Linked DNA regions of Danio rerio. The protein of the gene in region 1 interacts with the protein of each later gene in a pairwise test. Links are inferred from orthologs where the notes say so. Each region holds a gene or a part of one and is shown in the gene's direction. Other genes may lie near its edges.

Region 1 (3,834 bases):
AAGGTAGCCAGAAGTCATTCATTTTTTTAACGAGAACCGGCGGCAAGAAACAGCGGCGCGTCTTCATTGGCTATGACGCGGTTCAGCGGCAAGCAATCAGAATGAAGTAGTCCACCGCTTGAGCGGAGTTCAGAGAACACAGACCTGTAAACTTTGGTTCCGACCACAGTTGTTCCCAAGAGTTTGATTATTGCGGTTCCTGGATTTTCAATTATTGAAAATCGCGACGACGTGGGGCCCCCTAATCACGCGGGCCCCCCCCCGCGGTGCGTGCCCTGCGGGCCCGTCCGCTACGCCACTGTATAAAATATATTTTCCCAACAACAAAATTGTGGCTAGTGAAAATGGCGAGTGGCTAGTAATGTTGGAAAACTACTAGCCAAAGTGGCTAATGATCAAAAAGGTTAATGTTAAGCCCTGTATGTATGTATGTATGTTTGCATGCATGCATGCATACATGCATACACACACACACACACACACACACACACACATACACACACACATACACACACACACACACACACACACACACACACACACACACACACACACACACACACACACACACACACACACACACACATATATATATATATATATATATATATATATGTGTGTATGTATAATGAAGAATATAGTTTAATATAATCTATCATGTAGTAAAATTTCATTAATTTGATAAATTTAATCATTTAGCAGCAGGCACTTTGGTCCAAAGCAACTTACAAATGAGGAGGCATTCAGCAATTCTACATGAAGAAGCATTACAAACAAGAAGTGCTACTTATGAAAGGAACTGTTAGTCCTCAAAGAAATATGAGCTTGAGTATGGAGGGGGAGGGGAAAGAATACCACCTCTGCTTCATTTTGAGCCAGGAAAAACCCTGTATATGTATGTCTGATGTATGTCTATGTGGCTGGCTGAATAAAATAATAATAATTCAAAAAATCTTACTGCCCCTCAATGTATTCAAATGCACACACACATAAATGAATATACAGTAATAGTAAAGCACAAGACCCATACTGGCACATTTTGTCCATTTATTGAGTTAAAAACCACATGTAAAATGAACATTATCTCTGCAGGAAGGAGTCATAACCCAAGACGTGATTCAGATGATCTTCTCTGAGGATCCAGACCAGCAGCTAATAGCCACTCAGAAGTTCAGAAAGTTACTCTCTAAAGGTTAATATCTTCACTGATTCTCTTATAAACTTAAGAATGACAGTCGTTTAATGGTACACTTAAAATGTTTTGTGCTTACCTCAGAGCCCAATCCTCCCATTGATGAGGTCATCGGCACACCTGGTGTTGTCAACCGATTTGTTGAATTCCTAAGAAGGAGTGATAACTGCACACTGCAGGTAAGAACATATCATTACAAAAACCTTGTGAATGCTACATTGCCATTACAGACCATTTTTATGATGTATTGTCGCATGCTTTGTCCAGTTTGAAGCTGCGTGGGCCCTGACCAACATTGCCTCAGGGACCTTCCAACACACCAAGGTGGTCATTGAGACGGGAGCTGTGCCCATTTTTATAGAGCTGCTCAACTCTGAGTACGAGGATGTACAAGAGCAGGTGATTATAATTATTATTATTTAAAAATAGATAGCCATTTTTAAATTCTTTTCAGCCAGTAGCTGGTTTATAAAAACTCCAGAGCACAATGAAAGTGTTGTGTATGGCTGTTTTTGCAGGCCGTGTGGGCGTTAGGAAATATTGCTGGCGATAACGCAGAATGCAGAGATTACGTCCTCAACTGTGGCATTTTGCCCTCTCTTCAGCAGTGAGTGTCTTCGGCTGATACCGAAACTGTGATTGCAAGCCTTTATATTTGGGTTTTTTGGGAATTGTGTAATATCTGGTGAATAGCTCTCCGTTATCTCAGTTGCGCAGGTTTCTTCATCTTTGCCAAGGCTGTTAAATGTCTGCCACACAGCAGTGTTCATTTTGTCAGTGAATAGTTATTTCAGCAAAAAAATTTCACGGATGAAAAATAAAAAATGTAATAAAAATGAAGCAGTTTTGAAATGACACTACCAGCGTTTTTAACTTCAGATGTAAATGAGTCGACAACAGGTCTGAGATTATTCTTATCAGTACATGATCAGAAAACTTAATTTTGTGAAATTGTAATATTATAATTGAACTAAGTTATTTTGGTTTTATTTATTCAATATGATTTATACTTGTGTTCAGGGGTGTAACTGATCATGGTTGATTCGTACAGATCACAACCCACAGTTCGGAACATGTGACCTGCAGATTTAAAAAATTAACTTGTAGATTGATCATAAATTTGTAACGATTGCAGAGAGATCGCCTTTTGGGTCGTTCAAATCACAATTATAAAAGCTTTCCCGTAAAATATAATGTTGACAGAAGAAGTTGTGGTATTCGGGGTGTTCGGGTTATTCGAATGTGGTGGGTTTCTTCGGCTATTAAAGGTGTTTTCTGTCACTACTTGTTTAACCTGCATCAATGCTTTGAGTAAGCTGCACTATTAATCATTAAAAGATCGGGATCTCAACATCCATACAACACAAATTATAAATGATGGTGATTTGCATGTTTATTAATTCTTCGAATCGCTGCATTCAAATCTGAAAACGCAAAAATCAAGAAGTTGAGTTGGTCATAAAGTTACAAACAGTCAAATAACACCGAAGTACTGGGGTAGCAGTTTATAGTTCAGATAAAACCCCTGGGGCCTCATGTATCAACGCTGCGTACGCACAAAAACATTGCGTACGCCAGGTTTCACGCTCAGAATCGCTCACGTTTGGATTTACTAACAATGAACTGAACGTGGGAATGTGCGCAGCTCCACGGCAGCTTTATGGCTGGCGTACGCACATTTTTTGTGCGTGTCTGTTTTATTTCCATTGGCGACTCCTAGAGGCAGTTGTGTTAAATTCTTCTCTACAAAGTGTCTGATCCTTGCAATGGCAGCTGTATGAGACGGGTTCATCTAGTAGGTATGTAAGATTTCCATACCATACAGTTGACCAGCTAAACATTAAAGCACAATTTGCAGCGGTCGCCTGTTTTCCCAATGTAATCTGAGCTATCTACTGCACACACATTGCTATAAAGACACTATCTGAAGATGAATTTGCAAACGTGAATCAGAAACATTTCCATTCAATAAATGTGCAAATAAAATATGATGCACAAACTTATTAATGATTCCTACTAGTCTTTCTCGTGATAAATAGTAGGCAAAATATGATATGTAGCGGGGGAAAAAAAGAAGATAGAGTTCATCTGACGCTGGATTCGAGCCGAGTTCATGCTCGAACGTGTCAAAACATGATCACATGCGTCTTACGAGCTAGCCACTGAGACTGTTCAGAGTGCTGCAACAGTTTACACATATAAACCACACTATTTCTTTTTTAAATGCACTCAGTGCGATGTTCAGACCCAACTGTGTCAACCGCATCAGCTAAACTCTCCCACTCTATTTTTTTTCTTTTGTTGTTAATTCCGAAAAACAAACTTGCAAATAACACCGCTTTTCTCCGATCTACCTCCGAAAGCAGCACCTCCAATTCACATTCTGTTCAAAGTTTCTCTTTTTGCTTGATTTTGCCGTTGCTTTTTCGTTGGGTTTTGCCATTAGCATAGTCATTAGCATATTCATACGGGGGAGGAGGCAGGGAGGGGTTTTGTGCTCGTGCATGTTGCGCTCAGTTTCACGTTCATTCAGATGTACAAAAGAATATGCGTGAGATTCGGCGTACGCAGTGTTTCATACATCTGAATTTTTTTCTGCGTACGCACATTTACAGCTTTGTGCGTACGCAATGTTTTAGTAA
Region 2 (3,928 bases), on another chromosome or scaffold:
TGTCTCATTTCTGGATGTGATTTTATCAGTTTTTGTACAGTTTTTTTATTTTTTTGTACAGCTTGCTCATATGTTTCCCCTAAATATTACATAAATGTTCAGTTTTTAACAATGGAGTTGCTGTTGTTTTTTTTAAGCCATATTTTGCTTATGCTTGAAGTTGGTCCATTGTTATATTTTTTTTCTCACCATACTGAAGAATATGAAAGACCTGAATTATGAGACAATGTAGAGGCAAAAAAACAAGATGATGCCCTCTCCTGGCAACTTGTTGAAGATTCCAAGTTTCTTTGGAACAATAAAATCATGATATTCAGTTTGACTCAGTATATAACAGTAAATAAAGTACATAATTATATTTAAAATAATAAAATCATAAAACACAAAGATTACTTTAGAAGACTTTAAACTCTTTAAAAAACTAAGAGTTATACTTAGTGATATACCTTTGATTTCCAGAACACGATTTATTGTTAATGTGTGATTAAAGATTCTGAATTAAGTATTAAAATATGTATTTAAATGTGTATATGGCTGATGGAGGGAGAGTCTTCTTTTTAACAATAATTATTTCTTTAGTAAAACTTAACATTAATATTAAAATAAATTATTGGCTGACTGAAATTTAATGACAGTGTCACATTATAACGCATGATTTATTTTAATGATTGATTTATTTTAATGTGCACACTTTAACCACACAAAGAAGTTATTTCAACCCTCAGTCTTTCAAAAAAGTCAGAGTTCAGTGTATGACTTATTCAAGGTTTCTAAAAAAGGTAAAATGTACAGCACAACTTTTTTTTATTCTTAATACAATAAATGACATCAAATAAAACTGTAAGTAATCTTTACAACCAATAACAGTATGAAGTAATAATAGTGCAAAGAATCAAATTGAGACAATCTTTTCATGTCACACTGTAATGCAGCAGTGTTTGATCTTATACTCGACTGCAGTGGGGGCGCTTGGCCAGAGATGGCGCTATTGAGTATATATTAGTTTCAGCGCCGTTTCCCTCCATGGTTTCTGCTCTCCCAGAGTAACTTGGCGCTGGGCTCAGATCATTATACAGTCCCATATTCTCCCTCCATTAGGCATCTTTCTACCTTTTGGGCTGAACAGAAATTCCTCCAGAACCCAAGAGGGAAGAGTCCAACTTTTAAGGGGCGAAATGGACATGAAAAAGAGGATTCATTTGGAGCTGAGGAACAGGACACCATCTGATGTGAGTAATTTTGAGGCAAACCTTTAGTTTTGTGCTCAGCCATGCTAGCCTTGCTACTTTCTACTTCCACGGATTTGTGTGTAGTTTAATGGTAAGCACATGGGTGTAATGCCCCTGGTACAGAGTTAAATGAGAAAGTGCTGCGCGTACATCTACTGCATTAATGTTTATTCGTATCATTTTGTTATGAAAGGAACCAGGCTGAGTAAGGTACACTCAGCAACGTTACTTAGTTTGGAAAGCTGAATGAAGGCATTATTGCAGTATTCTAAGCCCCACACGCTGGATACGTTACGTGTATTCTTTTTAAACTTCATATCTGCTTATTTTAACCTCGGCGTGGTAGGATGTGGATGGGATGGTTTATTTCGCCGCGGTGGCCATGTTTGTTGCTAACATGAGGCGCCCTTTATTACAGGCACTTAAAAGCTAAAGCAATAAATCAGATATTCTGTGAAGATAACCATACGCTAACAAATTTTCGTAAATACGGTAACATTTCGGTCTTAATCGCTCTACGGCGTATGTATTCTTTCAACTAAAAATAAAAATATCAGGAAAGGCAATTAAAAAATAAAGTTAAATGTGTAGTCTGACTAACATGCAGTCGCGATATGAATTGTATTCTAAAGGGTAACATGGTTGTCGATTATATGAATTAACAAATTTTTTTTGAAAAGTTTAGTTTTTCTGACTGACTAGAGATGCTCTAAAGTAACCTTAAAACGTGCAACATGAACGCATGTATTACTCATTAAAAAGCTCGTGTTGGGTTTTATTCGTTAAATTGTTACTCGCTGTTGCGAGACGCCGATTCCCGCCATTACTTCCCACGCGCCACTACCGATCACGCTAACCATTATATTAGATAAATGATCGCTTTGATTGTTTTTAAACGTCTAAATGATCTACAGTATAAAATAACACTTGTAGAGACCAAAACAGCGACTGAGGAAAAAGAAGCTAACGTTACGTTACATGTGCTAACTTGATATGACAAACCGGTACAAATGTTTGGTCAGTTCTAAAATCCACCAAACATCGCGTAAAATATTGTCCTGATAGCCGGAAGCTTATAGTACGTTTTTCGAACGCAGCGTTTGATTTTTGTTTAATGTGTTGTTTTTTCAGCAACACAAGCTATCCAAGGAGGCGCCATGTTGTCATGAGAGAAAGAAACTCTCCATTTTTGTCTCACTAATTTCCGCTCTGTCTTCGTCTTTCGCTGTAGGAATACGCCATCGACATATCGCTTCCATCTTACACGAGCTCCTAAATGCCCTCCATTTGTTGTTTGTCAAACGAAATTAAACAAAACACGGCGGTGTCTTTCGGATATATGTCCATGTTGTCTGGCTGTCGGCGTGTAATCTGCTGTTTTCTCATTGGCGACTCGCTGCGACAGTCTGAGCCATAGGGCCATACAACAACAGCAGCAGCAGCAACCGCTTAACAAACAGCCTTCAGTGGTTTTCATTTTAGTTTCTTGACTACAATTTCATCGAACTAGCTTACGACCACTCACAGTGTCAAAATCCCCAACACACTTTAAGACTGTGTTTACAAAGACTGTTCTTTGTTTTGTCTGGTTAAGAAACTATCAGAAAAAAAACTGCATAGTTTGTCGCCTTTTTATGGCATGCTTATGGCCAACGTGTCCAACACCCCTTTTGCAAAAGTCACATAAATTTTTTTTTTTATTTGAATCATGATTGTTATGGTTATTACAGGTGAAACCTGTTAATATTGCAAACAGTATTTTATTATTATTTTTATTTCTTACCTTTTGTTTAATCTAGGTACGAGAACTTGTCCTCGACAACTGCAGATCAAATGAAGGGAAAATTGAAGGCCTCACAGCAGAATTTGTTAATCTTGAATTTCTAAGTTTGATAAATGTTGGTCTGCTCTCAGTATCCAACCTTCCTAAACTCGGAAAACTAAAAAAGGTAACTTAAAGTTTTCTTATTGTTTACCATCTTTCAAACATGTGCACAATGTTATATGTTTTGATATGGATGTATTGTTATTTTCAGTTGGAACTCAGCGACAACAGAATCTCTGGTGGCCTTGACGTTTTAGCTGAAAAACTCCCCAATCTCACACATCTAAACCTAAGCGGCAACAAACTGAAAGACATCAGCACATTGGAACCATTGGTTTGTAAACACTTCCTTTTCAAACTAGATTATGGTTTTACACGTTGAAATTTGGAGCTTAACTTGCATCACAGCTTATAAATTTTAGTTATTTATTATTATATAAATTATTTAGTTATATAGTTAGGTTAGTTAAGTTATGTACAATTTAATATAAAATGTGATGTGCACAATGTTCAGCATCCCTTTCATTCGATTGTTTATCAAGGGTCTACAAGTGTCTTTTTGCTACATTATTTTAAAGACTTTTTTATTGATAAATATTAAAATTAATTTTTTAAAAGTTTGAAATATTTCAAGAAACACTTAATAGATTGAAACAACTTGTGGTTTACTTCATTTTCTATGTACCAATTGAACCATTCTAAAAATGTCTATACACAGAGCTTTGATCTTTAAAAAAAAAATTAAGTCTTACAAAGACTATTTACTTTTATATATTTTCGTTGCTAATTTGATCTTTCTTTTTACTTGTGTAATTCTATATGAATGTTTCTTTAAAATTTTTACTAAATGTTGATTTTTTTTTTATTTTTATAC

Evidence for each region.
Region 2: the proteins of kpna5 (region 1) and anp32b interact in binary tests that used the Homo sapiens proteins (3 or more experiments, as listed by UniProt). The two-hybrid records come from large-scale screens. The link is inferred for Danio rerio from reciprocal best matches to the Homo sapiens genes KPNA5 and ANP32B.

What each region holds. Positions count from the first base shown.
Region 1 is NC_133191.1:35,374,780-35,378,613, reverse strand, and holds part of kpna5 (importin subunit alpha-6), read left to right. Parts: intron 1-1,092; coding exon 1,093-1,192; intron 1,193-1,276; coding exon 1,277-1,371; intron 1,372-1,459; coding exon 1,460-1,591; intron 1,592-1,710; coding exon 1,711-1,799; intron 1,800-3,834. UniProt on the Homo sapiens protein: Functions in nuclear protein import as an adapter protein for nuclear receptor KPNB1. Binds specifically and directly to substrates containing either a simple or bipartite NLS motif.
Region 2 is NC_133176.1:28,300,003-28,303,930, reverse strand, and holds the start of anp32b (acidic leucine-rich nuclear phosphoprotein 32 family member B), read left to right. Parts: upstream 1-1,008; 5' UTR 1,009-1,175; coding exon 1,176-1,229; exon of another isoform or gene 1,230-2,606; intron 2,607-3,028; coding exon 3,029-3,178; intron 3,179-3,265; coding exon 3,266-3,388; intron 3,389-3,928. UniProt on the Homo sapiens protein: Multifunctional protein that is involved in the regulation of many processes including cell proliferation, apoptosis, cell cycle progression or transcription.